Drosophila melanogaster: one gene and its partners. The protein of the gene in region 1 interacts with the protein of each later gene in a pairwise test. Each region holds a gene or a part of one and is shown in the gene's direction. Other genes may lie near its edges. The genes, in order: eEF1delta, CG14079 and robl.

Region 1 (11,545 bases):
ATGCTGGTATTTGTTTCACTTAATCACTCGACTAAACGGGGTTTTTGTAAACAATAAACACAATATTCACTTACACACTCATCAATTAATTATTTAAAAGCGAAAATTTCTTTGACAACACCATGAGGAACAGTAAAATCGCTTTGGTTTCAAACACCATTTCTTGTATACGACTTTACATACCAAACTAATTCATAGATATGAAAGCAAGCAATCCGCGATTATACAGGGTGCACCGTGTACACTTCCACATTTTAATCGGTCAATTCAGTTATTTGGCTGTATAATATCGCAGTCAGTGATGATGTCTTGGCTTTTTTCTATTTATATTGAGGTTGAATAAGATAAGCAATAAAATAAATTTTTATATTTACCTATGTATTTAAGTTAAAAGAATACCAAATTTATAAGACATTTATCCATCCATTTTATTCATTTTATATATGGATAATCGCTGTGATCACCGATATTTTTCTATTCCGGTGGAAAACATTTATATTTTCGTTTGCGACCGAGAAATTTCATATGATGATAAAATAAACATTTAAAATGTTGTCTTTCATATGTTTTGGCTTACATAAATTGGACTACTGTGGTATTCTTTGAAAGACGTTTTCAGTGAGAATGCATCGAGTGGAACAGTGTGGGAAAGAAACATCTGGGATGGTCTAAATTATATCAAATTCTTCATCCCATCGGAATGAATGGAAAATGCGATATAAAACTAGATATGCCAAACCAAAAGCAGCTGACGCGTACAGCTGAATCGCCTAAAATAGGCGGGGTGATGGTTAACTCTACAAAGGGCCAAGCCCACGTTGGGTTGAGGTACATACCGAAAAGACTGGTTCAAGTATCAATCATGGGATTAATGCTACTTTGTATTAACCCTGACGTCCCCTCTCTTTCTTTAATGACGTAATAAAATTATGATGTGACTCATAACCAAAAAAAATAAGCTTTTGAAGGTCATGTACTATTTACGTGTACTTTATGTCGATGCTTTCAAACAACCAGATCATCGATTAACGCTTCGAACTATGAAGAAAACGGATGGAAAATATGCTGATTACCATCTATACGTGGTAATAGAGATCCCAAAACAGTAGGGTTCCTCTACAGTATGTCTTTTCTTTAAAACGCAGAGAAAATGAATTTAGACATTATATATAAAAGTATTTAAACAAATTATTTATTCATATATGGTAATTCTTAGTTTAGGTTTTCTTGTAAAATAACAATTTCTTAACTTAACTATGGATTAAAATGTCTAAGAAGTTAAATCAATGGAAATTATACGCCCAGTGCCATTGAAAGGCGGAGCCGCGGAAATCGCATCAAACGTACTACTCTCAGTAGTCTGATTTGTAGTGCTTTTTTTCGAATTAGCCGAATGAGCGTACCAGTCTGTGAGTGCGACCAAGTTCTTAGAAAAATTGCAGTTTTCCTGATTGTATTCCTTTCTGTGTCCCTCAGAATCAGCAAAAGTATTCGATGTACTCAGGGAACCAACCAGTGAATGATTGGCTATCGAGTCTACGGTACAGCGACTAATTACTGAATTAGCCTTATAGTTTGAATAAATATATAAAGATTGCTGTAGGGGCTTAACCGAATTATCAACTATTACTGATTCTGGCTCTGGAGCACATTTACTTGGCTCGACGACGCGGCTACTGTACAAATTTCTGTTGTTATGTGTAAGTTTTATTACAGTCAGTGCATCCGAGCCAAGTCTTTTGGGCGAGCCTATTGCTGGCTCTTGTTGCTCATCGTCGTCCGAGGAGCATAAGTCAATTGTATCAACAACAACTTCCTTTGTGGGTGAAATTCTCCAGTGTGAGTTGAGCGAATTGTGGCGCGTTAGTCTTATATTGAGTTTTGTATTTGCAGTGTGATTTTGCTCTTCCATTACGTGTTCGGATATTTTTTTCAATCTGACTGATATTGGACGGCATTGTTTAATCAGCGGAGAGTTCAAAAACAAAAAGTTCTCAGTAGTGTCCCTGCGTTTAACAAATTGACGCCGCGGAAAGGAATATATGTGATAATTGTGTTCATGTGACTTTTTAAATGTACAATGCACTGTAGTGTTTGTTTTTTTTTCAAAATACTTTTGCTTGGTATTTGATTTATTGATCAATGGAGTGTAACAAAAGCGTTCCAGGCGTTCCTGTCTTTCCGCAATATAATCCATTGATATTGTTTGTTTTGTCGATTTTAACAATTGCTGTCCTGCAGGTGATGATATTGGGATAAACGAACACCTACTAAACGAATGAACTGTTCGATTTCTCCGCGATGGTAAACGCCTCTTTCTGTTTGATGTTTCCGTTGATGTTTCTTCGCTGAATGAATATGTTTTCTGTTTCTCTTTAGATAAACTATTATCGGAGAATTTGGGTTGCAGTTTAAAGTTTAAGAGAAAGGCGTTGCGCTGTTCGATATCTTCGTTTTTCCCATCACTTTTGTTATCTGGCTCAGGGGAATCACAAAGTATAACGTCATCCTCCATGCAACAAATGTTTTCGTGTTCCTGTTATGCAATAGAGTTATTAACTATTAACTTTGACAATCTTTGGCAATCAACTTACGAGTATAGCTTCTTTAGAATAAAGTTCGGCATCACAGTTGTCACATAGGTAGATATCAAAAGGTGGTGGCTCAACCATCATATGCTGTACGTTTTCGCTAATGGAACTGTTGTTCTTTTGCAGCAACAAGCACTTTCTGTTCTTTTGTTGTCTATCATATGACTGCAAAATAACCAATTCAGAATTAACTAATTTTAAAACCCAATTATTCAAAGTAGGCTTGGCTTACCATGTTTTCATTTCGAAATGTAACCAACAGTTTGTTGTTTCTCCTGTCATACAATGAAGTTGTTGAGTTATAATTGTTTATGAATCTTAAGCTCGCGTGTTCATACGCAGCTAAATCATTACAAAATCTTAATAGAAATAAGCTTTTGTGAAATTGATAGCATATAACCACAATTTCTTTCATTTTTTCCATCCAATTCTGTAAAATAGATACAGGTATATATTAGCCATTTATGGGGGTGAATGTTAAATATAAGCCATAGAAATCAAAAGGTAAGGGAAAAAAGCTTACCCCAACAAATGCTTTCGGCTTTTTGAGCGGAATCTCGAAAGGAGCGCTTTCGGGCCACCATTCTGGTTCACTGCAATCTATTTTCTTTGGTAAGTTTATGTGTCCTAAAGAGCATTGCACCATGAAGGGAATAAAATTTTCTAACTGGGACTCCGTAATTTTTTCTAGGGATGTTGGATATCCGTTCGCAAACAAAAGTGGTAGGTTGGATATCATGTTGTGTTGAGCTTTATCTTTTTCATCCATTGTCACTGCAAGTGAATTAAAATGTTATATTTTATTGCCATGTTATCGATAGTTTTCCAAGATAACCGATTAAAACGATTACATATGTATAACATATCTACTTAAAAATTTAAAACTACTAAACTTTCCTAAAACCAAACCAAACAAACGATTTCAAATATTTATTAGCAGTTGTGATAAGTAAGGGGCGCAGTATATGGATCTAGCTGTGTCCGTATGTCTGTCCGTCCTCATGAACGTCGAGATCAATAGAGAATACTGAGGGTGATGAGTAAACTCAATTAGGTACCGTGTAATAGTTGTTCTATAGTCCTTGAAAAGTATATAATGATCATCTGCCTGTCCGTCCTGATGAAGGCCAGTTACTCGTAAAAATATGAAACTAACAAGTCTTTACAGCCTTGATCCGGATTACTAGCCATGTCGATACAGCCATAACTGACTGTAAGTCCGTATTTGTTCGTATAATCGTAAAGCCCTCAGGTACTATTAAAGCTACCCTGGAATTGAATTGCCACGTACATTGTGACACCTAGGGATCAAGGTCTAGAATACATAACTGTTTACGTCCTTTTTGTTCTAGAAATCTCTAGTTTAGTGACCGCAAACATTACTTTTTTGCAGGACCATTTTATGAACGGTCACATTAAAAAATGGCGAGTGATAACCACAAAATGGCGAAGATACAGACTGTCAAGTCCGTGGGGACAATCGATAAAGGTATCGATGATTTTTTTTTGCAAAATTACAATCCTTGAAATGTACCTTTATTAGGTACTATATATCGTATACACATTGTACCAATAAAGTACAGCAATATGATTAAACTTTTTTTTTTATAAAATACTTGTTTTGCCAAAGGCGTTGCCACTTTGGTTTAGAACCAAAGCTAGTGGTTACGCCTAGCGATTTCATGAAATTGACATGAAGTGGAATGTTCCCACTTACAGGTTTGTGCGATATCGCTTCGCGAATGCTAACTATGCAGTTTATACGAGTTATATATTCTTGTGGCGAGCCACGACCAGCGTTTCACTTTTGCAAAAGGGGCAGCTCATAAACCTTGCGTCTAACTGCAGATTTCCTTACTGAAAAACCACGAATTGCTCTCATATGTGTACATGCACACACACGCACACACACACGAAAAACACACATATGTATTCCAAGGGAAGTGGAATAAGTTTGCAAATAAAATTTTTACTGCATAACTTGGGACATTTTTATACGTAAACACACTCACACAAGCACTTCTAGATAATTATACATAAACACAAATATTCATATGTTAAATGGAGTCATCACAATTATGCTGTGGTATAAATATCCCACCTGATTTAGACGAGTGTATGTAATACACTCAACGAAAATTACTATGTTCAGCATCATTTGAAATATAATTTGAATAGTACACACTTATACGTTAAACTGGTTGATAACGAACATTTCGACACCGATTTTGTATGGCAATACATTAAACTCAGTGCTCTGGAATGCTCAGTGCTCTCTGCATATACATATCACTGAGTGAATCCATTAGAAAGGAGTCTCAAAAACCGATCAAAATAGAATCACCATCAGTACGCACCAAGAATTCGCAATGATTAACAAAACGGTAGACACCGAGATCTACAATCACAAATATGATAACATAGTTACAGTACACAACACTTTCTTCGTAAAAAAACCATTTGTTGTAGTTGCTATCGAATAGTCGAAGTGAGAACTGACTGCTAAATGGCTGAAATAATTGTGACAAATACTACCCAGTCTTCAAATTGAAACGCGGAAATGGAACAAAATGTGATGTTGCACTTTTACTTTGCTCTTAAAAAAGTTTTTTACTGTAAATAAAATACATGTACTGGAATTTTTGTGTAAAATCGACATCGAATTAATTCGATTCCATCAAACACAGCTGACGCAAACATCTGTTAATCTCTTATACAAAGTAAAGGAGAGTTGTATACCTTTAAAAAACTTTAAAACATTTTTTTTATTATGGTATCTTTTTCTAGCTTTTTAGTAGCACACAAGGACGAGGTCCGTGATATAAAAATTTTGTTAAAGAGAAGAAGAAGCATTAAATAGTTAAGTGGAAGATAATATATAAAAAAAGTATCCCTCTGTATCCCTCTTTCATCAAACCTCTTCACGCAACGACGACAATTGTGGTGAACATTTCGTTGCAACCCATCACAAGCAATAAATCAACTGATGACAAGTATACACACATGTTGATCCGCAGGCCTGTGCAAAAGTTCGTCAAACATCGATGAGGTGCCACGTGGAACTTACATTTTGCTACGTTGAGATCAAACTTTTTTTTTATTTCTTTCCGGGCACTAATAAGTGTTTCAATTTATGGACGTTTTGTAAAAATTGCAATAAATTTGTTTATTTACTCGCACATCAAAAAGCAGTTCGTATGAGAATGAGAACGTGTTAAAAATTTGGTTGAAATAAAAATGTCGTGTTTCATTTCCATCGTTTCAGTAGCAATAAAAAACGAATCCGATGGCGTAGATATCGATATACCTGCATTCCCTTTCAAACGTGTTATCGTATTGTTCAGCCAATTGTGCAACGTGTTTGAGTAAATCTGCGGGCGAAAGACTAAAAATGAAAGTAGAGGCATTGGACAAATTCTGGGCTGACAAGAGCCGCTACGATCTTGCCGAGAAGCGATTCTACGAGGGTCCCCAGAAGGTAAAATCTCTAAGCAATCACAGCCATAAGTACTTAAGTTGTTAGCCAGTTTCACGTGGCCGGTAAATCAGTTCAAATGGTTTCGGCAATGTTTATTGCAAATCTGTTTGTTTTAACAGCAAGGACGCCGAAACACACATGTTCTAAACTTCAATACATACGTAGAATGATCTATTAAAAGATTTCTATATTTATCTGCCTTTGATTTTCAATTGCTGTGTTCATATTGCACATTACATTGGTATATTCTTGTAGCTGTATGTAACAGGTGAACGTTTAACACTTTTAAAAAATATAACTATGTGCGTAAAGTGTATACAAAACAGAGTGTGAGAGAAAACTAACTCTGGCAAGCCAAATTTTGAATACACTTTCCGTTTGGCAATTGGTATAAATACAAAATATAGTATGCAAAACATAAGTACTTAACATGACACCTACACAACAAAATTCGTTTATTCAATGGAAATGTGCCAAAAACAAATCGATGTATACAAAGTTAAAACCTATTGAAATTCAGGGAAATACTATAGTTAAGTAAAGGTTTAAACACGTTGTATTCTATCTACACAAATATACTACACAAAATGCATAGCACTGCATTGTATAATATTTAAACTACGTACAATTTTTGGGCTGATTAGAGTGAGGCTTATCAGTATTTCAGCATGCTTGCATGACAACAGACTTGAAGTAGATGCCCGTACATAAAACATCTCATTTTGCTTAAAAATTATTATCCCTAGAATCCTTTGTCAACCATTCGATACACCAAATGTCAGTTCACACAAGTAATCAATGGTGTTGTCTTATTTTTAAAGGTAACTGATCGCAGCCACTACAGCCCATTAGTAAGCGAAATCGCAAAGGCTAGGGAACACATACAGAACTCGCTGGAAAAGGTAACTATTGTGATAAATCTTTGTATTTCAACATTTGATTTGTTCACATTCCTAGGTTTCTTTCGGTTTCTTTAAAACTTTGTAGAGAATTGTATAATTATTATTTACAATATATTTAGTCTGTACTTATGATCAACATATCCCAATGAGGACTTGAATTTGAATTATTAATCAAGCCTTTTGTGTGTGTTCCAGATCGATGGCGTTACTCTGGACGATGGCTTAAATTCCGAGCTGGCCAAGCGTCTGGCCCAATTGGAGGGTGAACACAAGGAGTTGAAGACCCAGGTTTCCTTGTTGAACGAACTTTTGACTGCCACAGTGAAGCGCTTGGAAACTCAGCTGAAATTGACGAATGGAGTGTCGAAAGAGCCCGAGGTCGAAGCGAAAAAACCAGAAGCGAACGACGACGATGACGATGTGGATCTATTTGGATCGGACAGCGAGGAGGAGGATGGAGAGGCCGCCCGCATAAGGGAGGAAAGGCTGGCAGCCTATGCTGCCAAGAAGGCCAAGAAAGTTCAAATTATTGCCAAGTCGAACATCATTCTGGATGTTAAGCCGTGGGACGATGAGACCGATCTGAAGGTTATGGAGACGGAAATCCGCAAAATCACCCAGGACGGTCTACTGTGGGGAGCTTCCAAATTCGTGCCAGTTGCCTTTGGCATTCAGAAACTGAGCATTTCATGCGTGGTTGAGGATGATAAGGTTTCCATCGATTGGCTGACTGAGGAGATCGAGAAACTGGAAGACTTTGTCCAAAGTGTTGACATCGCTGCGTTCAACAAAATCTAAGGGGTAACATATAATTTTTCAATTCACGATCGGATTTGCCGCATTACAAATGTGTTTGGGAGTCGTCTAAATAAATATTTTGATAAAAACCAACTTAAAAAACTGCATTTAAACTGGGAGTAATTGGTAAATAGTTTACTTTAGGATATTTTTTATGCAAACGATATGTTTTGAATTCGCTAAAAGGCCATATTATTTCAAAATTTATAAGAAAAGAAGATATATATTAGTTTAAGTCATGTATTCGCCATTCTTTGATTAATTAAATTCATTTACGCACGAGTATAAAAACAATGCAAATTACCTATTAAATAAATATTCCAGGTCACAGCTAAATTATGCACATATTAATAATGATTAAACTGAGGGACTAGTTTCATAAGGCTCTACAAATTATAAATAGTTAATCATAAGTTATTTAACCATCCTAAAGCATAACTTCGTTTTCGGGTCTCGTCGACGTTTGGCGCTTAAACTCACAGCTGCCAGGAGAATGTCGAAGAGTGGTCATCGCGGTGCTGGTTGGAGCATAGGATTTGGTCACGCCAGCGCGGGTTCTAGTCGATGCAGTGCTCGGATTTGATTGCAGACCTTAAAGATTAAATAAATACAAATTACATGTAGTATATTCAACTAACTGCCAGTTAATTGATGCCACTGAAACTTACCAAACTTAAACATAATTTCGTTATAAATTCTGCGCTTAAACACAAATATAATGAAGACAAAGATTCCAAGTAGCACATTAAACGAATCGCTGATGGTCCAAAAGAACGTTTTCTTGTGATCATAAAACAAAATGCTAACTATTTCCAACAGCCATGTGATGCCCATTACGAAACACAGTTTCGTGTTCATAACGAATCTGGTTTTGTCCTGAAAGAATCGCCTTTTCAAAACTGGCTTGTCGCTGTTCAAGCTCTGCATTTTGTATATTTCATTTTTTACTTTGTTGCAATACTTCATTGTGAGCACGAATAGAACTAAGTTTATAATGAAAAGTATGCCAACTGGACCCGAAAAGAACAATAAGCTGGCTGAACCAAAAGAATCATCTGGAATTAATACAAAAATATACAAATACTTTAATATTTAAATCGTAATTTAATTAGATTTTTAACTTACACGTAAACCAGCAACGACCATGTCCAAAATTTGGACGCACCGCATCCGGTAAAATGTCAGATTTCGTAAAAGCTATGGTTATTCCAGTTAGCAATGTTGGTAGCCCCCAGCCATAACACGAATACCAAATAAACTGCCTTCTCAGGTCGCTCTTTTCGCAGCTTTTAAGCTTTGTTGATCTACAATTAAATAAGTGTAAATTATTGCAAGTTTATCTAAATTTCAAAAGCATTTGTACTTACCCAAATGTTTTCCATATGTCAAAGGAAGTAATGTTCATCCAAGAAAAGGCAGCCATTAAACAGAAGTACACGAAAAAACCTTCAAGATACAAAACAGAAACAGTTTGTTTAGGTTTTAGTTACCAAATTGCACAAGAGAATGAGACAAAATACCCTTAAACAATTAAGTACTTGACGAGTATAACTATGAATGTAATAATAAAAGTGATTGCTATCGATTTCCCGCTTTTATGGTATAATAACTTGTAGGTCTCCTCGTCCCAGCAGGATTAGCAACTAATTACCTAATGGCTGCAATACCCACCAGAAAGAAAACAGATGTCGTCATTCGATGTGGGTCGCAATTGGCCCAGCGCGATTCCAAGATATGCCGCAAACAAGCTGCTAACGAGGCAAATTAGGATTTTGCCGGGCAGGTTTCTCAATTTGGCAATTGAAATGTAGACAATCAGTGTGAGTGCATAGAAGCAGCAGGATATGAGCAGGCCAATGGGATACATCTTGAAGCGAATCCTGTCGCCGGTCACCACCTTATTATCAAAGCACAAAAATGTATACAGCTGCTCTGAAAGGAACGAAGGCAAATAATTAGGATTATACAAGACACTACTGTATAAAATATGTCGATTTAAATAGGAAGGAGTTTACCTTTTGATTGGGTCTGACCCGTTCCACGCAGTACTGAGTATTCGTATAGGTTTTGAATGTGTTATGAATGATAAGCGAGCCATTGGACGGATTTATCGTATGCGAATCGTCTGGAAAATTATCAGGATCCAAGCGAAACTTTGGGCACTGCAAGCCGTGAACAATACCGAAATCTGAAAAGTATTGAATACAATACACTATACAATCTGACCTATGTCAATGAAAAGGCAAATGTGTCATTCACTTGTTGATTAACCAGATAAGAAAATTTGACAAAAATAATTAAAATGACAAAGCTAATGAAAAATGTCAATACTAATGAATGACGTAGATAACTTCAATAGCGAAATTTGCTTGGCACTTGAAACCAATTGTTTATACCACTTATTTGATCAGACAAATGGAAAACATCAAAATCGATTGCTTCCAATTCTTAATAATATTTTTGATCATTAAGTTTACGACTTTAATGGGCGATTACTGCGTTCAATTGCCGCTCGTTTCCTGCTATAAAGACCTATAAAAATAACTGCAAAACTGGTGACGACATACCTGAGGGCTTTGAGAAGTTTGCGTTGATATTTAGGTTCTGAAAACCCTCAAATTTGAAATCGGTTCCATCGATCTTGCAATAGGTACTGAAATTTCCTTTTGCATACATTTCACCTTCGGCACAACAACGACGAATACAGGGTATTTTTTGGCAAATTTTCATTTCCTGACAAGCACGCACCAGAAACTTCTGTTCCGGTAATGCACCTCTATCCAAATCCGCATCGTCGGAGTCGTGAATAGCTTCGATGCAAAACTTGGAGCTGGGCAAACTGTTGGTTCCATCTTTCCAAATCAACGAATTATTATGAAAGTGCACTTTTCCGGAGGACAACGTATATTCCACGAGTGCTCTGTGGTCGGAACAGTTTAGGGTGTTATCAAAAAATATAATTGGACTGCTGATGATGGAAGTATAAACAAAGAAATCGCTTTCGCCCGGTTTGCATGTATTATTTTCGGAAACGTAAATAAATCCCTGTGGGCAGCACTTGTTTACAAATCCAACACTTTGAGACGGCACATTCTTTTCGAATTCACAAGATAAAACGATGAGACGTCTGTTTAATAGTCCAATGCATGAGTTATTTCGCAAATTCAAGGTGCGTTCACCTAAATCACTTATACTCAGACTGCTAAAGTTCTGGCACTTTGATAGTGCGAATTGGCTGTGGCCTGAGTCATTGATAGCCTTTTCTAATCCAAGGCCCATTGGTGGTATCAATTTGCCTATCACTTGGGCAAGATCCGGAAGTTCACTGATGTTGCTTGCGGCGGAAGCGCACTGGTATATTTCCGCATTGTCCACAGTGCGGCGATATTTGAATAGTAACGAATTCGCGGCACAGCATAACTGAACGGCGAGCACTTTTGAAATGCCACTTAAAATCAGGCACACTAAACTTAGTCCGATGTTCATTGTTTACGGCTCGTCTATTATACCCAATGACCGATTTGCGAGCTTGTGTAATGTTTGTATCTTTTCTTAGAACGGACTTTTCATATCTTATCATTGAGGAATCGTTATCGGACCATATACACTTCGAACCGCATGCAGTTGCCGGATTTAACGAACTGAACTGAAGTCTTCGCGATTCCTTCGCGAGCAAATGCGAATGTTTATGGGTAAACATTTGGCCCGCACACAGACGGACATAGCTCGACGTATATAGGCAATACATTTATGGATTCTCGTAAGCCTATACAAAT
Region 2 (11,511 bases), on another chromosome or scaffold:
CAAAAAATATATATATATATTTATATATAATACTAAGAAATATTTGTTATAATATGAAATCATTTAAGCATTTATTTATTTACGCTTCAGTAAACACAAAAGTGTAAACACACATATTACCATTAATTTTTGTATTCATCGAAAGTTGTACATAATTACTGTCAGTGTATCACTCAAGTATGAAGAAATTAGAAGTAAGCACCTGGATAGCTGTTTCAAAAGGCTGCTCAATTGCGCCTTCCAAGTGTCTTTGGTGGGCTGACCTTGGCGATACATATATGTATTTCTGACAGTGTAGAAGCCAAGGTCGGTCGTCCTCCGGGCTCCATTCTTCGATGACACAAGTTCAAAGTCTGCTCGCAGCCAAAATGGAATACCCAACCCACTTGTATAGCTCAATGAATCACTTTGGGGCATTATCTGTGTTTTAGCAGGAAACTGATGTCGAAAGTGAAGAATTCAATTAAATTTCTGCACCTCACGATTGTCAATCTAAATTGCGCAAGCTACGGCCTTTACCTTGATTATCAGACCCCACGTATAATCAATATGAAGATGATGACGCTTTCCCGAGTGTTTTTATATGGTGCGTGTATAGATCAGTCATAGCCATATCGGCTTGAATGAGTGAAAAGTTCTGAGAAATGGGGGAAATATGGATCATCGTGATTCGCAATGTGCGATACTACTTATATGAGCTTTGCAGGGTTTTATTCATTATCTGGTGTTATTTTTCCACTCATTGTTATCAAGAAAGACCATTAACTGCGTATACTTTCTAACAGATATTTCCCAGCAAGTTATTAGTTATCGCTGTGCTGAAACCTTTTCATAGTTACAAAACTCATATGAGTATAGGATAATTATTGCTACGAGATGAATATTGCCTTCTAATAATTTGGACGTTTATTAACTAGCTGAAGCAATATAATTATTTCTTAAATGCAGTTAGTTAGCTCAACGGCATTCTCCCACACTAGTTTTGCATTCTGCTTTACTGACCTAAAACAACTGGAATGGGATTAAGAATTGGCGCGTCCGCTTATCTGCCATTCATGTTTCCGTTTCGCCCGTTCTGAAATGTGTGTACTCACACTCGCATTCACACTCGCAATTGGGTTCTCGAATCCAGCCCACATCCATATATCCATGTCCAGCCCCCAGAGTTCCGTTCCGCGAGATCTCTGTGAATCACTCGCCCATATGAACAGCGGATGTCGGTGGGCGCCACGGGTCTCTAGAATCAACAATGGTCGATCAACAATCGTCGATCAATGTGCGTTTGACGTTTGACCAGAGCGAAGAGGCTGAAGTATCTCACAGATTCTCAATATCTCAATATATACATATGTTCCCAATCTCCATGATTCTGGGCACTCCGATGACGTCGTTCCAGACAAGTGTTGGTTCAAATTGGTAGCCAAAAACGGTGATAAAAAATTAAATTATCATTTAATAATAGCTTTGATTAAAACAGACATTAATAAATGAACACGAATTTAACAAGTTATGACAAAATATAAATATAAGTTAACATTTCTGCAACAATGCAATTAAAGTTTTTCGTTTTACAATACTATTTGATAATTATAATTATATATCAAATAGCATGCATAGATTGACAAGAAATCCAAGATTCATCCCATATACGAACTGATATCCCTCCTCATCTGAAGATAAGTAATTCGTCATTGTAGAATGTGAATCCTCTTGGGAAGTATCTGTTTCCAGTGCTAAAAAATGTCTAAAAAATCAGATCTGCACCGGACGCTAAAAAAGAAGAAAGGATGACGAGTCGGGACGGCAGATGTGAAAGAATCTGTTGGCTTTGAGCGCCCACGCGAGCAAAAGTTACGATTGATACGAAACAAACGGCGACCTGACCAAACGACTTACCTATTCACCGAATTAGAATGCGAATGACGTTGGTTGTACTCACTTTTGGGATTGGTTTTGTCGGGCCCACTGACTCATTTCACTTTGGCCACTTCACTCAAGGTGGCTTAAACAGCAGCCGGTGCCACGTGTTCCTTCCAAAGGGGAAAGTTATAAAATAAAATAAAATTCACAGGGCTACAGGGAAATGGGGCACCTACGCCAGACTCAAAATCCTGTTGACGTCATTCGGGGGCTGCTCAATGAATTTTCTGCACTTTCTTTACCGGCTTACTGATTGCAAAAGTTGTAAATAACATTGTTCATCACTTAGTCAAGATCATGTGTTTGAAGACATCACGTGGGAAAGAACTACGATTTAGTATGAATAAGTACTAAGTAAGTAAAAATATTTTAAATATTAATTACTTTACGGTTAAGATTGTTAACACTAAAAGAATGAAAATATTGCATAAAAGCTTTCTAAGATTGTATTAAAGTTTAAAGCTTATGTGCTTCAATTGTGATTATAAGCGAAAGATTAAAGATTATAAATTCTTTAACGTTGTTTAAAAGTTGTTGTGGAGAAGAAAGATTTTTTTTTAATATTGAAATATCTCAATGTTCATCTGATTACTGTATTTTTGAGTGGCAATCTAAAAGTAATATCTAGAATCTCAATCAATCTGTATCTTTTTTTGATGTTTACTTTATAGGATTTCATTTTAAAGTAGAGCAATCAAGAGTAGAAATTCCTGCCACCCCCCTCCTCCTTTTTTTGCCATCGTCATCGTGGTTGTCATCGCCCATCCGTGCCATCCTTCCCCAATTGATTCGTCGGAGGGGCCAACGAAGGTTAATGCGAGCCAGTGTTTGACCTCCAGGGTCAAGCTGAAGGCAAATTAATTGCGAGAATTGGGTGCGACAGCTAGAGAAAGCGCAGAGCTGCTGTAATTGATACAAGAACAAAAACGAGAAGCCAAATTGCAGCCAATTGATCGAGTTAAGGGGCCGATGCTCTCGAAGTTGGCACTTCCGTTGCGTTATAAGGGCTGGGGAAAGCCCCCCAATCAAAAACAATTTCTCTCAGTGTGCCAGCGAGCTCGATAATTAGGCGGTCAACATAAGTAACATGGAGATATAGATCTTTCATGGAATCTTCGTCCTTGATTACTGCTCTAAAACCTATAATTGAGCATAATATTTTGGTCAGCAAATCAACTTATACTGGTAACAATTTGATAAGAAAATGTGTGAATTTTTAAGTACTATTTATTACTAGTTTCTAGTGATGCAGTTGTAGTTGTACGGCAATGAAATGAAAAACTTCAACGAGAGCAGACTTCAATCCTAAACGGATTAATTAAGATATCGTGGTAGTAAAGATTTTACATGGCAACGTGGTACTCGGCGTAATGGACGCCACCGAGGGTGTTTCGGCCCACGCGAAAACTTGGCCAAAAATAAAATGTAAACGGTAATAAAAGAAGAGTGTCGCCTATGTATGTACAGGGACACCCACAAAAGTCTATATACAGTTATATTTTTTGATAACGCTCGACGGCGGAAACATTGCACGCCAACGCCCGAGCAGCGCTGTCGGCGCTTTTCCAGACAACCGAGCCGCGCCATTCATTTCCACCAGCTGCAAAGGGCGAAAAAGACGAACGCAGATACTAGCGCTCAGATACAGATACAAAGTCGAACTCGCAGATACACAGACACACACACACACAGCGGCAGTGTTTTACGCATTCCAATCAGCCATGTGGGCGTCCGATTCCCTCCGCTGCAAATGCAAATGTATATATATACACATAGATATACAAATATATACCTACTACATATGTACAGATATAATAAAAACTTATGAATGAAAAGCTTCTGCGCAGCGTGGGCGGAACGCTGGGCCAGCTTTTTGGGGGCTAAAAGCTCCAGAGGCCGCTCAGCACCCCCCGACCCCCGCCCCCCATCACTCGCTCGATGGCAATCGCATTATGCCAGCGTCCAAGCTGCGGATACACACGGAATATTGATTGGAGGCAAAGTCTCCAAATCTGAAGTAACCTTGAAATGTGGGTGGCCGGTGGGCCGAAGGTTGAGGATAAAAGGGTCTTGTGGGGGGGGGGGGCGAGTTGCTGGAGGGGAGTGTGAGACATTTGGATTGCGGATGGCAAAGAGCTCGTGTGCTGGCTGAGCTTATAAAGTGCTGTTTAATTAATGAACACTGCTGTTCGAAAAATTGTTTCAAGAACTTGCAAATTGAAATTCAAATCTTTCCTTGGTTGCACGAGAGTCGCAAGAAGAAGGTTACTCCCTAGTGTCTCGACTATGAGATACTCTCTCCTTACTTCTTATTTTCGTTTACCACTATCAAAGTGATATGAATATAGAAATAGGTGTACTATTTTGATAATATTAAAATATTTTTTTTTTTAGTTTTTAATAAATTTTGTTATTTTTAACATTTTTAACATTTTCTAGATTCTACATTCTAGATTCTAGATTTCAAAGCGAATGCTTTAAAAAATCAAATTTATTTTAAGTTATATCAAAAAATACTCAACGTCTCAAGTAATTGACAAAATAAGGTACAATATATGGAAAATGTGTAGAAAAAACTTTTAAATTAAACGGACACAACTTTAATCGATACATCGATAGTTGGGTCCTATGTAATGTGACCTTATTATAGGGCTACCATTTTTAGCAATACGGGAAACTTGTGCTAGACAGCAATCTGGTCACACTGCCAAACAGCTGTTAATGGTCAAAGACCCCCAAAATATTAAATACAAAAGAAATTAAGTCTGCTTACCGTGCAAGTAATTGAACAGTGTGCTAAGGACCCAGTTGTACAGTCAAAGTAATCCCGAGGGAAATGGAATCGGATACGCTGGACCAGGAGAGTGCCGCGGCTGCTCTAAAAAAACTATCGCCAAGTGAAAGTCCCGAAAGTTCGAAGAAATGGGAGCCGACTTCGGGAGAGTGGGTTGCGGCGGGTGGGGGAGAAGAGGCGCCGCCAACAAAGAGACAAAAGACTGCAGACGAAAAGGAGGAGAATCGGGAGGAAGACGAGGATAGCGAGGAGAGCGTTGATGAGGAGGAGGATGATGGCGAGGGCATCGTCCAGATTGGCGGCACCATCAGCCCAAGGCATTTCCAGCGCATCCCCGTCTTTATCGTCGACTACCACAACGATGTGCTGGAGTTCATCTACCGCTGCTTTGCCACCCGCCACCTTCCGCTGCAGAACAACACCCTTGTCCACTTCGACTCGCATCCGGATCTGGTCATTCCACGGCACATTGCCGCCAGTTCCACCTACCAAAAGGAAACCATGTTAAATGAGCTTAGCATCGAGAACTGGATCATGCCCACACTTTATGCAGGTGAGGATTTCTATGGGGAATCGAAGAGAACTATATTATATAGAAATATAATATTAAATGCTATTATTTTATTTCTAGAAATAGAAAACAATGTAAAAGGACAAATAAAAAAGTTCTATGGTCTAATTTTACTAAGAACTTAATATTTAAAGATTATCTCTTAGTAACTGCTAAATATCCATTGAGTACTGTTGTCAAAAAGATTCCTTTCTACATTTAAAGGATTTCAAACCAAAAACTTATTAACTGTGATGAGTCTAATGACATTAATTAGCTATAATTGCATTTTCTTATAGAAATTAGTGTAAAATAATAACTTATTGCTATATTACTTGCTCTTAGGACATTTCAACCGCGTCGTGTGGCTGAAGAACTCATGGTGCCAGCAGCTGCCCACTGGCAGGCACGACTTTAAGGTTGGACAAAAGGACGATCGCATTGGAGTGGACTGTCCGTTGGACTACTTTATTGCCGACGGCAACTACTGCACTACGGAGGATCTGCAGGATGCCAAGAGCGTGGAGCTGCAGGTTCACGATGCAGACAACGAAAGCCTCAATCCGAACGAATTCCTAACGGAGAAGGACGCCAAGGGATTCGTGCTGGACATAGACCTCGACTTTTTCAGCACCTCCAACCCCTTCTTGGAAATATACAAGGATGCCGATTGCTACAATCAGCTAAAGGAGATCTTCCACTTCGAAAGCGTGGAGAAGGTGAAGAAGTCGGGCACGGCTACTATAGCAGATTATTTGGCCACGGCAGAGAGGCGACAGACTCAGTTGGATGCACTGAAGACGATTTTCTGGCATCTGGAGGAGGAGCGCAATTTCGAGGGACTGGAAAAGCCGGACGAGACCGTGGTCACGCCCGAAGTGTACGCCAAGATTGTGAAACTGGCCGATCAGCTGCAGGAGAAATATCCAGACGATGAAATCGACTGGCATTTGATCTTCGATTCGGGCAGCACCACCGATAATAATGGCTTGCCCCACCACATCAGCATCGCCGAAGAGTTGGAAACGTACTTTGCAAACTTCAAGCGTTTCTTACAGCGCCTGCCAGTTCCTCCAGTGGCCATTACAATGGCCCATTCCGCTCAAGATGACTACTGCCCCCAGGATCAGGTGGCATTCATTGAGGAATGCGTTCTACGCCTGCTTAAGGAGGTTTTTGGCGAAAGACTGCACGACAAAGCCATCCTGCACTATATGGACGATCCTTGGGATGTGATGAAGCTCTAAGCTTATGGATAACTAGGGGTTCTTTCGCCCGCCACTGCGAATTAGATTCTGAATTTACAAAACTCGTTTGGGCGGGAAAACTCCACGACTAAAAGATACCCGTAGTGATTTCGAATTAGAACCTAATGATGGAAAATCCAATACTAATTATAATAATATTTTTTACTTTGAAATATACGCGAAGTATTTATTACAGACAATTAAACAAACTCATTTAATGCAAATTGGGTATATTCAAAATAATTTGTTTTTAAACTTTGAAAGGTTTCGCGACGAGATACCTTTTAAACGACATATTAGGTGCCCCAGTAAAATCAAAATGTGTATGCACAGATAATCTATATTTAATCGTAAATACTAAATGTTAGTTATAAAATGTACATGTATTTAAGGATAACTCTCTTCCATTCAGTGCCGTAGGTTCCTAGAAAATGCGCAAAATCTCATTTATTGACATGGACATGGCATGAACACCTGAATTTCTGGCTGGGGGTTATGACTGGCCACCTCATTGAGGGCAGTCAACTTTTAATTGTCGACCCCAATTCGTGGCCGAAATCAATAAGCCAATGGCCCCAGGCGAAACTTTCAGTAGCATTCTGTGGCTCAGTCGTTGTGGAAGTTATACAGATTAGCTTGAGAGACATAGTGAGTTCACTTAAGCTAATTAAACACTTTTCGCTTTGTTCTATAGGTGGTAAAACTTAAAATGATTTCCATTTCGAAAAAAAGTAAGATCATTGGAATTTAAGTAACTACTACATTTAGTTTGTCAATGCTTGAGTTCATTCAAAAACTAAAATTTGTGTTACTTTTAAAAATTGCATCGACAACAGCTGCACTACATCTACATTTTTCGACATGGAATTACAATATGGTAGGGATTCCTAGGATATACTTGGATTATTTGGCTCACAGCTCCTCCTTGTCGCCCTTGGCTTTTTCCCTTTTGGCCTTTTTAGCCTCCGGAGGAGCAAGCTGCTCCTTGAGGCATTCCCTTTCGGCCTTTTTCTTGAGCACATGGTCCTCGCAGAGATGCTTCTTCAGTGACTTCTCATCCTGGTGCTTAAAGTACCATTCGCTGATGGTTTCCTCGTACTCCTCCAGTAGGTTTTCGCACTGGGTCTTCATTTGGGTGACCTCCACCGGGGGCTTGTCCCACAGCTCGTAGGGTATTCCCAGATCCACCTTGACGCCCTTGTCCACAAGGCCATGGAGCGTCTGGAAGGTCTGGGACATACCTTTGGCGAATCTCGTGCTGTCAGAGCGTTCCTTGTGCAGATTGTACTCCAACACTCGCTCGCACACGTTCTCCAGGGACTCGAGCAGTCGCAGTTCGCTGCGCCGGTATTCAGTGCGCTTCTTGGGCTTCACATCGTCAACGGAGTATCCGATTTCGATGACGTCGTGCGACTTGCCGGTCTCTCCAAGTCGAGCTTCCAATTCGGTGGCCAGGATTTTGCAGGCTTCGCAGCGGTTTGCGTAGCGAACGCCTTGCTCCTCCTCGGGCGAATCAGCTCCGGCTAACTGCAGGACGACCCAGAGTGTTACAAAGCCAGGCAGTCTTTTGAGGAGCATTTTCACTGCTTGATAAATTCCAAAAAAACAATAATAAACCTGACGTGGAAATGCCGCTCGCGAGAAGACCAGTGCTGCAAAACACCAACAACCGAACGGAACCGACGACTTAGCTTTTTCCCGCCAATACCTTTAAAATAATCTATATCAAATCTATTTTCTTTTTTATGATTTATTATCCTACATACATTTAAAAAAAACTTTTATTTTATTTTATTTGTTTATTAAAACAGAAGTCATGCTTAAACGGTTTATTAAAATTGAATCAATATGGTTTTATTATGAATGCCGAAACATTTTATCTGTAACAAGATGCAGCTTTCAAATTAACGAACCAGATGTTCTTACGTTGTTTAAATGCAATTAAAAAATTCCCATAACATTTCTATCCATTCCAATATGTTCTCTGTTAAAGACATTAAAAATCCCACGATAATTGAAAATTCGGTTAATGGTCGCCTTGTTTTAAAAAACAAACAGCTGGAATTAGTTCAAAGTCCAGTAAATGACTATTGAGGATCGCTGTTTTCGAACTCGGTCTGAAATACGCTGGGTATTTGATTGACCATGTCACTGGCCAGTAGGCTGCGGCCAAACTTTTGAAATGCAGCCGCGTTTAACTTTTTCACAAAGTAACTAGAGGCACATGCAGCTACCAGGGCGGGATTGGGTTCACCCGACTGCAGTGACCACGAGAAGAAGGTGGCCAAAGATCCGGAGAGCAGGTCACCTTGTCCACCGCACCTGCGACCGGAACCGCCGCTAGGCATTGAGTGAACTTCGTTGCAGTGAGGGAGATAGATCTTGTCGTTGGCGCCCTTCTCCAGGACAGTTACTCCGGCTCCCAGGAGGGACATTTTCTGGCGCGCCGCCTGGTCATCCTCGCCAAACAGTCTCTGGAACTCCATGACATTTGGCGTGAGTATGACATTCGGCTGTCCACAGATCAGATTCAGATTGTCGTTGAGCAGAAACAGTCCATCGGCGTCTATGACAACTGGTTTCTTGGTGTCCATGCACAGCTTGAGTACGTTGGATGCCGTCTTCAGGATGCCCGGCTCCCGACCCAGTCCAGGTCCAATAACCTTAACGATTCTAAATTTAGCATTTAATTGTATAAATGTAGCATATACGTATGTAGGTGGGGGGGGGGGGCTACTCACAACGACGTGAAGTCGCTCTAACCAGGGCGCTATTCTCTCCACTGCATCCACACAGTCTAGCACTGGATGCACGATAAGATCGGGACTGTAGGACTTGATAATGGCCGACGCATTTGAATGGCAGAACACATGCGCCAGGTCAGCGCCCACTCTTATCGAGGAAATGGCCGCGAAGTACGGCGCTCCGGTGTACTCCAGGGACCCACCGATCACTCCAATGCGTCCGTACTGTCCCTTGTGCTTGTTGTTCACCAGCTTGGGCACCACCGTCTTGAACAGAGCCAGCAGCTTGGGCAGGTGCACTGGAATATCCGAAACTGCAGCCATCTCTACCGGCGGCAATGGTTTTCTTTGTGGACTGTGCCCGCTGTTTACTATTGCTGTGACTAGTGATGCACATTGTGGTCGGGATTTCCTATCGGTTGCTGCTATCACTGTGAGAAATACTTTGTTCCCACGGAAGCCGTATTATCAGTAGTTAAAGCTATAGAAAATGAAAACATGGAAAAATGTGAGTTAGCTAATTATTCTAAAATAGATTTTTTTTAGTATTTTACTATCATATTTTTGTATTATTTCTTAATTAATTCAAAAACTATTCAATTCTTTAAGTACTCTTCACATTGTATAGTTACACTATACATTCTATACACATCACTTTCAACTCTTTTGCTTATCAATCAAAATTCCCTGCGTTATCGACCAGTAATCGACTTTGAAATTCACTTTCAACCGCTGCCCCGGCAACCAGTGGGCTCCAAAACAAAGAACCATGCGCTTTCGCCCCCCAATTCTCGATTCCCGCCCCAAGCAGTTGGCTATTTTCCGGCAGACTTTCACTTAGGATCAGGCAGCAAATGTCCCACAAGAGATTCTACGTAAAGTTAGATCTGCAGCTCCATGCGGTTTGTGGCTATGTCGATTGAAGTGTACCTGTGACATCAAGGCTCCTTCCATTTTCAGCTCACTTGTCCCGGTGTTTGGCTTTGTTCACACGGATATTTGGAGGCCACCATCAAGACCTTGGGCTACTACTTTCGAACTGGACCCATGGAGCCTCGCTTTCCGATGCTGTGCCACGATCAGTTCACGATGGAGGGATACTTCAAGAGCGTGGGCTGCCTGGAGGAGATGCACGAGCTACTGAAAGCTGAACAGCTGGAGATAACCGTCTGGCAGAATGGCCGAAGGTTGGCCTACTTCGTGGGCAGTCTTTCGGATGTGATGCAACCCACTTTTCCGCGCCTGAGCTGTGCCCACAGCTCCAATGTTCAGCTGTTGATGAAGGCGACGCCTGCTTTTCCGGGTATCCTGGCGCCCAAGGTGGAGCTATCTGCGCAGTTGACCACGCAGGATCGGAAAAAGGTGTGCAGCTGCTCCAGTTCCAGGGAGTACTCTGCTCCTCCTGTCAATCGCCACGTTGAGAGCCGTTGCCTGGGCCATTTGGATCAGCCTCGAAAGCAGCAAACCGTGTGTCATGGGAGGCAATCCAATTGTTGTCCAAGTGGCAGTTACGCCGCTTGGAGAGCTGGCTCTCCTGCCCAACAGAAACAGCAGGAACGGCGATTGTCCTCCTGCTCCAGCACAACGCAATTAAGTAGCCTTAGCCAGAGTTCCTCGCTGACGCAGTGCAGCCACTTGTCCAGCTGTAGTTCTCCTTTGGATGAGCATCACAACAGCTGCGATATATGCCAGGCCTACAGGCGCATGTTTCCTTCTTACTGAATAAATTAGCAAAATTATTTGTGTCTTATGTTTTAAGAAAACCTTTGGTGTTAAAAGACTTATGTTGCAACCCGGAAAACAATGGATATTTTCAATAAATGGTCACATTTCAGTACATTTTCCAGAAATAATTGACTTGTGTACATGGGTTAAATGGGTAACTTCTTCATTCAAATTAAGATATTATCATTACTTTTATATTTAAACTTTTATGTTTTACGATCTAATTTTTAGGTTCATTAACAATATGTTGTCTCTTGATTGATATGCATAAATAAATCTGTTTTCTAACCAAAAGAATATAATTCAGCCACAGAAAACTATAAAAATAGTATCTAAACGTAGAGTAATTATATAAACAAAATTACCAGCGTAGCTTTTGGCTTTTTAGTTAACAAAATAGTCGAATTTGCGCTTAAATTAGTGGTTTCTAAACTGGGAATATGATACCTATATGTAATCCTTGAAATCATTCTGTGCGAAAACCTGAACGGTGAGCGTTAGTAGTAGGTTGTAGGGAGCTGCCCGTTGCAC
Region 3 (10,844 bases), on another chromosome or scaffold:
TACATACATATAAAATACATCCGATAATTCTGCATAATTTGTTTGCTTTTGTGTGTTTTGTTTTTGTTGTTTGTTAAGCATTTCACTTCTTGGAACTTGACCATAAAATTCATTGAGATTTCCAAGAAATCTACACTCTAAATTTTGGCACAATTAACTGATTCAGTTTCCAAAAAAAAAAAAAAAATTGTGTGCACAAGTTGCCAAGACTCTGGATTAACAAAGATAATATTATATTATACAATTAATTTTCTCCCGCTACCATTCAACTTTTTATATTCGTTACTTGTAAATTAAAAGGGTTTACTAGATTCGCTTGAAAGTATGTAACATGTAAAATACAAGTTTACGCCCCTTTAAAGTAAATACATATACATTGATCAGGATCCCTAGCTGAGTAGACCTGGCCTTGTCCTAATGTTCGTCTGTCTTAATGAAGGTCCAGATCTCGAGACATTATTTCCGTCCGCTTCTAAGGAAGCTCGTATCTGTTTTTATTCTATATGCATATAACTTTAGATAAGAAATAATAAAAAGATAAATTGACTATAAATTCATGCTCGTTGTTTCTGACAATATACAATTTTAGTTATAGTTTGATCAAAATTAGGCGACTGCATCATATAGCTGAAAATAGGAAAATACCGATAATGCCCTTACGCCAACAAACCGACCAAAACTGCCATGCCCACACTTTTGCAAAATTTTTTGTTACCTTTTCATATTAATTACATTCTCTTGTACATTTCTATCGATTTACCAAAAAACCTTTTGCCACGCCTACGACAATAGAATTCCACAACTATAGCATTTTCTCTAGTTTTTTAAATACATTGAGTGCAAGGGTATTTTGGCTTCGGCTTGTGAAAGCTGCTTTCTACCTTCTTTCTATTATACATACCCACATGTTTGTATGTGTATGTAGATTCTCATTTTTATTTTTCACTGCCAAAATTCATCCGTACGTTTGTTTAACATACAAACACATACATATGTATGCACATTTTTGCCTTTAAAAATGTTTCATTAATGCCCAATACAGCCTTGTGCAAATGTATCCATGAAGTGACTGGACACACACACATGTGCGAATTCTTAAATGTGTTAGAAGAGAGCAACATTTAACGCTCTCTTAAATTCACAGAATTTGTTATTTAAATATTTTTCACTGGAAACTTATTATTATTGTTTAAAACATTGAAGAAGAGTAACCTTTAACACAAGCAACTGATTTGCCGCGACAAATTTAAATACCAATAAACCTTAAAGTTTAAAATAAAATATACAAGTGTGTATATTCGCAGCCGCGTTATCTTTTTTACCGACTGATCCGTTCCACGTCGAAAAAGAGACTAGTCTTCCATTTTCACAAATTCAGATTGCGTCCGTGTGTTCCATAAAGTTCTTCGAACGATAGAGTTGCCATTTAATTGACAAGATACTAGTTCCAATTGTTTCACCACACCAGTTTATTTTTTTTAAATAAAAGGTAATATTTTTATTTTTAAAAGGTGTTTCTGAACTTATTGATAGTTCTATAACTAAACTCAGTTTGGAACTCAGTTCCAATATTGTTTTTTGTTAAGTGACAAACGGTTTTCAAACAAAATAAGTCATATCATACGTCTGCGTGATTAGCACTAAAGTTTTGTTAGGAACTATTACATCTTATATCTTATGTCTTTATATGTACAATTTTCTTTACCTATGAACATATCTAAGTGAATATCAATGTTACATTTCTAATCTTTAATATTAATTCTCTGATTGAAAGGCATTAACATACTAGTTACTCGTGGGTCAAAGGGTACGCCAGATTCTTCGAAAAGAACGTATCACATAGAGGAAAATGTTTCCGACCTTATAAAGCACACATTGTATGTACATATGTATGTACATTCTTCATCCGAGATTCCCATGTGCGAGATTAAACATGCACATTCTAGGAACGCACAATAATGCAAATCCTAAAACGCCCACAAACCAAAAAAAAAAAAACATTCTTTGATTTTTTTTCTTATCAATAGTTATTTTAATTTAAACTAAAAGGGAAAACCCAAAAAGTTGTGCAAAATCATATAAAAAAGAAAATTCAAAAGATCTTTTAATATTCAGGCGTTTTGAGCTGATAAGAAGCTTTCTGAAATGTTATGGATTTAGTCGTACATTGCCTAGGGAGAAATGCGGTCGTTGGTCTCGGTTGCTTTGTTATCTTTGTTAACTTTGTGTGTTACAGAAAATGAACACTTTAAGTTTTTAGAGACTCCTTGTGGGATATCAACCCGTCCCAAAATTAGCGGTGGTGACGATGCAGCCGAGCCAAATTCTATATGGATGGCAGCGATATTCAATTCATCCGATTTTCAATGCGGTGGCACAATTATACATATGCGTTAGTGTCTTTTTTAACTTATGTATACCATACCAGTCACAAGTATATGCACAATTTTTCTACCCTATAATACACATACATATGTCATTAGCTAATCATGTTGCGTTGAAATTTGTAGGAATTAAGGTATTTAAATGTCATTGACTAAATGTTGCATATCTGCATTTCTGTCTCTGTTTCCTAGCTGTGTAATGGGTATACAGTAGTCGCGATTACTGTTCTTGCCTTCTCTATATATTAATGAATATATATTTTTTTTCTAGGTTTTGTGTTAAGTGCTGCTCATTGCTTGGTAAGAGGATATGATCTGTAAGTGAAGTTCGAAGTTACAATAATTCGTGCTTACGCGGTTAATTTAAAAACGAATATATAAATATGTGGATTTATGAAATACAGATACGTGAGGTTGGGGGCACGCAACATAAATGAGCCCGCTGCTGTCCACACAGTCATTAATGTCTTTGTGCACCATGACTTCATTGCATCGGAATACCGAAATGATATAGGACTGCTTCAACTGTCGGAGAGTATCGTCTACACAGGTATGTATGCAATTTAACCACCGTAGCCCCATTTCAATGCATTTCTTCGCAGTTCGAGTTCAACCAATTTGCATCTTTTTGGATCCGGCTCTCAAAGGGAGTGTTGAAAAATTGAAAACGTTCAGAGCCCTTGGCTGGGGAAATAGGAACGGAAAATTGAGCATAATGTTGCAAACCATCTATCTTCTACACTTGAAAAGAAATGAGTGCAAACGCAAATTGAACTTTAATCTCAATTCAAGACAGATTTGCGCTGGAACCAAAAATGGAGACACCTGTAGAGGCGATTCTGGGGGTCCCTTGTCCACGAATATATTGTTTCCTTCCAATAAAAGTTATGAGGTGCAGTTAGGAATCGTAAGCTTTGGGGATCCAGAATGCCGTGGAGTAGGAGTCTATACCGACGTGACCAGCTATGTGGATTGGATCTCATCGACAATAGCTAGAAATGACTACCTACCAATCGGCGTGTCCGGGGGAGACATTGCCATGGGCAATCCCATTGCTCCTGACGCTAATCGGCACTGGACTCCTGCGGCTTCACCACCACTTCCTTCGATGTTGTACAATAGCTGCAGTCAGGATATCGCGGCACCGATCGCGCAGCTAAGAATTTATTGGCCTGGTTCTTATGCCGTTGGCGTATTAATAACAGATCGTAAGTATACTCTTTCACTCGAGAATTCCACAATTAAATGAGTATAAATTTAACAAGATTGAGTTTCTTTTCTTAGAATTGATCATCGCTGCTGCCACAGACCTGCCCACAGTTGCCGCCTATTTGTAAGTTGTTCGAAGGATTATCCCTTGTGCATTAACTGCTATTTTTCACATTAGTTACTAGTTTATTTTGATACCATTTTAAATTAATTATTCAGATACGTGTTCGTAGTGCTCGAAGGAATAAGCGCAATCAACCAAATTGAATCGGTTTCAAAGCACCCAAATTTTACTACGAATGATTACCGAAATGACATAGCAGTACTCAAACTTGTTCGATCAATAAGCAGCACAGGTAGAACATACCTACTATCATAGCAATTGCCTCGATTTACAGTTATATTCTTTTACAGCAATGAAACCCATCTGCATTTTGACAACGCAAATATACCAGCAAAACGCCGAAAAGGCTCGAGAATTGAAAATAATTGATACAGATTTAGCTGAACAATTCGACGTCAGGCTAATGGAAGGGAGCCAATGCGCGAAACATCTCGGATTTCAAATCAACGAAAATCAAGTGTGCATGGTAGATCCATCCGACACAAGTAATCCCCGCCAGAAACGTAGCTACATAGTGGTTGGAGGGATGAATGCCAATGGCCAGATACGCTACATTTTGGTGGGCATTTTCAGTTTTTCATCGAAAAACATACTCGTTTTTACGAATGTTATGAGGCACACGGATTGGATTCTTTCCTTGCTATATTCGTTAAATACGTCATCTTAAAATATTTAAATGCCTTAAAAATGTAAAAGCACGTGTAAATACCAATTACTGACATACGAGTGATTGGTACATGTTTTAATAATAAAGTAACATACGCTAACGAATAAGAAATTGTCTTTGAGAAATCTAAAATATTTAATCATTTTTCGAAGTAATCATGCGCGTTCTGTACTACGAGTAGTGTTATCTTGGAGTCTGGCACCAGGAGCACCTCGTTGGTTCTTGTGCGTATTCTCAGCATTAGTAGTTCGTCCGTGGGATCTATTTTACTCATACCGCGTTCCAGTCTTCCTCGAATAGCCTGAAAAGGTCCCGAAAATTGGACAGCATCCTCTCGGTCCATCGTACTCATCACCGGATGTCCCGACTCGTTGAGGATCACTACATCTCGAACATGTTTTTTCGATTTGACCAGGTCGAATGCTTTTTCCACATATCGTAGAGTTCGAGGTGGCTATTTAATGATGTAACCTATAAATAAATATAATTACATTCAATATGGAAATATTTTACCTTTTGTGGAAGATCCGGAAACATATTTCTCGTCTGCTTTGAAACACCTTGAACTTCGTAGTAACGGTTTCGTGAATTTTTAACCTAATTTTTTTTGTTTTCTTGGTTTCCAAGGTGCGTGTTGCTATATGGGTCAATATGCCAGATTAAACAATTCTGTGTAGTTGTTATTAATGTATTGTTAGTAAATAATAAACTTATTAAATTATTCAATCACAAATATTTTGATAATTACCGTTGCAAATTTTTTTCTCATTGAAAACTTCATATCGATATTTTCTGTTAACTTATGTGGAAATCTGTTAAATTAACAATGAACAATGTGCCATCACTGACAGTGCATCTCTAATATTGAACAAACAAAGTTTACTATTTCATTGAACTGCAGGTAGCGGTAGTGTCTGCCGTGTTTCCAACAAAATTATAAGAAAAAATGGTAAGTAAGAGTTGTGCATACACAAAAACATTAAGAAAATAACGTTACCTTCATGGCTTACAGTCGCAGGAGGTTGAGGAAACACTCAAGAGAATCCAGAGCCACAAAGGTGTTGTGGGTACAATTGTGGTCAACAATGAAGGTGGGTGGTTCAACTGCACCCCAGTGTGTGCTAAGATATCTAACTAATTCTCAACGCCTCCCAAATAGGTATTCCGGTCAAATCCACGCTGGACAACACTACCACCGTTCAGTACGCTGGCCTAATGAGTCAGCTGGCGGACAAGGCACGAAGTGTGGTGAGGGACTTGGATCCTTCCAACGACATGACATTCCTGCGGGTGCGATCCAAGAAGCACGAGATCATGGTGGCACCCGACAAGGACTTCATCCTGATTGTCATCCAAAACCCAACCGACTAAATGGCATGGTGCATCGCGACTATTGCTGAATTATCTGCACATTTATATCTGTATTCTAATCATCAGCGTATAAATGGAAAGTTAAATTATAATGTAATGAAATTGTACTCCATACAATAAATATATTTATGCATAAAATGACATCACGTAAACATTTTGGGCTCTGTAAACTTCAGGTGTTTTCAGCTGTTAGTCCGCTATAACTATTGATAGGGGCATTCATTCTTTATTTTCAAAAACTGAAATATGCGTTCTCTAATTGAAACAAATGACTCCAAAAGATAAATTTATTTTAACGCTAATTCTAACACGAACAATTAATTATTATAATATTATTATAATTATTGAAGTTGTTTGATGTTTGGGTAGTTGGTTTAAGCATCCGCTTCACCGACGTATTTATCGAATACTTTCGAAGCGAGAGATATGTATTCTCTTGTTACCTTTGAAATTGTTTCCGTTGCTATTAGGTGAACATTTATGTTATGTTGGCAATTAAAGACTACCACGGCTTGTACATAATTGGAAAGATTACAATAATTACAACGGTGTGGTAATTATATCCTTTAAAAACCATATGCAGGGACAGAAGGTATCGAATATGTATAAAATAACTTCGATAGTAGCAAAGTCCCAGACTATCGATGTTTGGCCATCGTCGTTGCACGCCACGGTCACACTGATGCAAAGTCGAGGAAGACGGATTCGTGTGTCGGTGAAAACCCGTGAGTTTTGCGTACTTGCATTTAAAGAAAACCCCTCAACGGAATAGTCAATAAATTGATTGGAGAGCCCAATCAGCCACCGTTTCGACCCAGTGTACGCGTGTGCAGCGAGTTAAGAGATCCACCGATCGATCAAATCGTATTGAAAAAAGGTAATTCGAAAGATGGGCGTGCAGCGAAAAGCGAACGAGTAAAGAAAATGGCGTAATCACGCACTTCGAAACCCAAAAGGCAGCCAGCAAACGCAACGCAAACGGAATCCAAATCCACGAACCCTCAATCGGCCAGTCAGCATTACTTTGGGTGAAAAAACGAGCTATATGAACGTGAAAAAAGTGAATAAAAAACGTAAAAAAAATGTGCTGCAGCCATATTTGTTCCGTGAAAATGAAAACGATACACACACACACACGGGCAAAGTCGAGTGTATATAGTCGTCGGTGCATATATATCTGTCTATACATATGTGCTAAGAATTAACTAAATAAAATGAAGCACTTCGTATCGGATCGTCATCGCACCGTTTCGTTGTTCGCAATTTCATTTCATTTCCAACGCGATTCTCGTTCAACGTACGTTGGTACATAGCCTGCCGTACATACATACGTACTTATGTATGTACACATGTACTTTCAATATCGACGATGGCATCACAAAAACACGACGCGCACACAGACACGCACGCACGTACCGTACAAACAAACAGACGTGCGGACACAGAGCAGGGTCTGTATGTACGTACGTGTGTTTATATATGGGACTGGTTGTTGTTGTACATAACGGAGAGTTGAACACATAAGGGCTGGCTGGCTCAATATAGAAAGAAGCATGTGGCTGCGCTGTCAGCGTCGCTGCCTGCAGCGCGTAAGGGATTTTATTACGTCGGACGTTTCGGTCGTCGGTCGCTGGGTTCGTTTTATATTTTTGGATATTTTACACATGTCCATATGCCCGTCTATTCCCCTGCATCATCTGCATCCTCTCCCACATGCATCTCTCGTTCGCTCTCTTTTCGCGTGCGTTTATGAATGTGTGTGTGTGTGTGTGTGTGCGTGCGTGACTCCTTGAATGCAACGTAACGGGAAACGGGCGACTGCAGTCATCAAACGGGTGTAAGGGAGACGGTCGTAGCCCCCCGCAACGCATGGCTCCGCACTTGCGTTCATAAACACAGTGATCACCCACGAAAACGACCTCGTCGAACAGGACTCAAAAGTGCCAAGTGAAAATCATTACGAATTACGGAAAATATACCGAGTGAATCACCTTAACAGCGAAACTGCGTCCCAAACATGAACCAGTGCACTGAAGAAAAATATTGCTTATTACTATTAGTTTTATGATTAAGTGCTATATACGGTTGAATACTATACATTCTTATTGCATACTACGCTCTTTATAAAAAATATGTCAAAGCAAAGCTATTGAAAATCTTATATTGGTAGAAGTTGTTGAACTTTGCTGTGCTTGTTTTTTCATATTAATACTGTCATTGTGCATAAAATTCCGATATAAACCCTGTAGAACAAAGTAGATAACTATATAAAGGGCTAGGCTTTTCAATGTTTTCCCGCTTTGGAGGCCCTGTAATTTCCAACAGGTTCAATCCAAGTTAGGAACAGAATTTTTATTGTTTCGAAGATTTTCAACTGTCGATTTTGTATTTTACCACGTTTCGTGTTATCCACTCCCAATTGATATAATCATTAATTTGATGTGATTTTCTCTGAGTGCATATAAACAGTTGCCTGAACATGACTCAATTCCTTAAAATTTCATTAGTCAGCCGACTTAAAAGATCTCGTACCGAGTTCAGAGACTTATCAAGGGCGTATGATTAGATTGTACAAAAAAAAAAAAAACAGATACTTTTAGGCCTGCCAGCATTCCAAGGGCTTTGAAACACTGGCGACCAGCATCGTTTCGAGCTTGAATCTATAGTTTCCCCACCAAGTACAACCAGTTTTTTTTTCGTTTTGTTTCCCATTTTTTTTTTCTTCGGATTTTTTTTTTTTCTTCGGATTTTTTGGCCGAACACAAGGCCAAAGTTCACACAACACTAAACAAAGGTTCTCGAACCATTCGTTGTTGTATGAACAATGTGCCGTATCTTATCATGTGCGTTGGGAATTCGCAGAGCAGCAGCAGCACAGAACTATCAATCAGCCCGGCGCTTATTATCTATCTCTACAGCTTTTAAACTCACAACTTCCCTCTAATTGCGCAAAAGAATGCCGAGTGCGCAATCAGCTTGGAAAATGAGTGGAAAATGCTGTGCAAACGATCAAAGCCTGCAGCTGTTCTACGCAAATCGTAGAAAGTCGTATCCACATAATGATAATTAGAAAACTTGGCAAAACAGTTGATCAAACAATCTGATTGGTTTGGTCTTAAGTTTCAAATGGCTGCTACGTTTGACGCACACATACGGTTGTAATATATACTATGTAAAGATTAAAATAATGTTGATAGGTGAAAAAATCGTCAAGCTTATTTATTGACGGTCTCGATTGTAATTCTCGTCTATAAACTGAACACTTTGGCACGTTTTCACTTCTTCCTATGCAGATAAATGTACTGCAGGCAAGTTCTTGAAATCAGCTGCCCATTTTCTCATCAGCTGTTTCTTACTGAAGAATTCGCGTTTTGGGTGTGACAATGCAGTACTGTAGGATCGATTTTAAAGGCTAAGTTAAGCAACCATTTCTTGGGCGGATTCCTGCCATATTGGCTGCTTATTGGTAGGCCATCCCCCAGCATCTTGGCAAAAGCTGTTCGTTCTGACAGCAGCGCGTCGAAGGTCTCCTCCCGTTGAACTTTCGACCCGCTGACCAGGCCCCGGTGAAACTTTTGCCCCAGCTAGTCAGCAGTCAGCAGTTTCGAGGCACACAGCTGCAGCAGTTTCGATCGGAAAGCGACCGAGTTTGCTGCAGCAGCTACACAAAAGTACACAGTAGTCCTTCGGTTGACACAGCCACCCCGCACACATACAGACACACACACACACACACAGACACAACAGATATAGATATATGTATATGTATGCAGGCAGCAGCTTTCTTCCCTTAGGCGAATCGAAAACTCGATTTTCATCCCCGTGGCGAACAGAATTTAGTTTTAATTTCATTACAGACTACAGGCGAAGGGAAACAGTGGAAAACATGCGTATTAAAGTCGCTGTTTGCTCGGAGTAGGGAAAAATCTATTCCCTGGGAGTGAAATTTATATGCGCGATTAGATATAGGTGTGTTACATGGTGGGATTTCTGGACAGTGCCGGGAGTGTGCGGGGATTATGAATGGGGCATGTGCTGCGTGCGCGTGTCGGCATAGGAATCGTCATAGCCAGAGTCAGATGATAACACGGCAAATACATACAAGTACCCCAAGTTATACCATAAAGCTAATAATATAGTATGGGATGTGAAGTCGCAGCCTTATCGCTCTGCTGGTTCGAACAAAACCAAAACATAAATAGCGTCGAACCGAATTCTTAATACCCTGACACTGTTGTCTTTTCTAAATATGTTAAAATACCTAAAAAAAAAAATTGTAACATTTACATCAAGACTCTTGATACTCGTGAGTATGAAGAGAGAAGAAAGGATTCCGAATTTCCTTCATTAATGATGTAAAATCTAGTATACTCTGCGAGGGTACACAGCAAAATAACTAACACCAATACCAGTGGGAAACCTATTTTTGGATTGCCAATCGCTAAACAATTCTCTCTGCAGGATTTGCAACACCTGCTCTCTGTTTTCGGCATCTTTATCTCGCTTCTCCTTTTCAGCCGCTGCACTTTTGACCCTTCAACCACTTGTTTTCGCTCGAAAAGGAGCACACAAAAGAATGTTCTATATAGGTACCGGAAAAGACCTGCTGGCAAAAACCGAAAATTGCAAATTCTGAAGCTGAAGCAGAAGCAGAAGATTTCCAAAAAATGCCGAAAACAAAACTGCACATGTGTGTGTGCTCCCATTTTGGTTTCTTTTTTTTTTTTTAGTTTGTACTAAAGGCGGTTAGGGGTAAAAGAAAAAGGGACCTGAAATCCGAGCTCAACGAACATCTGTTCCAAAATATACTGTGTGTGTGCTGGTTGTTGATTTCACCAGGCGAAGAAAATATTGAATACATGAGTGCATTGTATATATCGCTTGAAAGATATATACAACTGGCACAAACACAGTCACATATCTACATACTTACATGCATACAATGCAAAGTGTGAAACAAGACTCTTTTTCACATACCTGCTTTTTATTTTATTCCAGGTAAATCGACGTCGACAACTGCGGAATACCTAAGAGCCAAAGCAGCGAAAGAATAAAGAAACAAGGAAACATTTGCACGCCAGCGGAGCAA

What was found.
Region 2: the proteins of eEF1delta (region 1) and CG14079 interact in a two-hybrid assay, tested with the Drosophila melanogaster proteins (one large-scale study listed by BioGRID).
Region 3: the proteins of eEF1delta (region 1) and robl interact in a two-hybrid assay, tested with the Drosophila melanogaster proteins (one large-scale study listed by BioGRID).

Annotation. Positions count from the first base shown.
Region 1 is NT_033779.5:10,226,591-10,238,135, forward strand, and holds eEF1delta (eukaryotic translation elongation factor 1 delta), read left to right. Parts: upstream 1-5,916; 5' UTR 5,917-5,982; coding exon 5,983-6,069; intron 6,070-6,890; coding exon 6,891-6,971; intron 6,972-7,166; coding exon 7,167-7,769; 3' UTR 7,770-7,860; downstream 7,861-11,545. Other genes in the region: ova (ovaries absent), read right to left, coding at 1,271-2,536, 2,595-2,756, 2,824-3,021, 3,115-3,360; mthl15 (methuselah-like 15), read right to left, coding at 8,197-8,360, 8,438-8,824, 8,895-9,073, 9,137-9,215, 9,441-9,696, 9,785-9,957, 10,337-11,255. UniProt on the Drosophila melanogaster protein: EF-1-beta and EF-1-delta stimulate the exchange of GDP bound to EF-1-alpha to GTP.
Region 2 is NT_037436.4:19,088,054-19,099,564, forward strand, and holds CG14079 (uncharacterized protein), read left to right. Parts: upstream 1-9,945; 5' UTR 9,946-10,109; coding exon 10,110-10,157; intron 10,158-10,215; coding exon 10,216-10,977; 3' UTR 10,978-11,011; downstream 11,012-11,511. Other genes in the region: MESR6 (misexpression suppressor of ras 6), read left to right, coding at 4,757-5,267, 5,346-5,387, 5,610-6,511; CNPYb (canopy b), read right to left, coding at 7,424-8,089; Naxd (NAD(P)HX dehydratase), read right to left, coding at 8,599-9,174, 9,253-9,579; Gem2 (gemin 2), read right to left, coding at 11,428-11,511.
Region 3 is NT_033778.4:17,451,241-17,462,084, forward strand, and holds robl (roadblock), read left to right. Parts: upstream 1-5,231; 5' UTR 5,232-5,330; coding exon 5,331-5,333; intron 5,334-5,396; coding exon 5,397-5,475; intron 5,476-5,543; coding exon 5,544-5,755; 3' UTR 5,756-5,889; downstream 5,890-10,844. Other genes in the region: CG10764 (uncharacterized protein), read left to right, coding at 2,182-2,392, 2,656-2,701, 2,789-2,934, 2,987-3,592, 3,669-3,717, 3,813-3,949, 4,008-4,384; robls54B (roadblock similar 54B), read right to left, coding at 4,524-4,838, 4,898-4,921.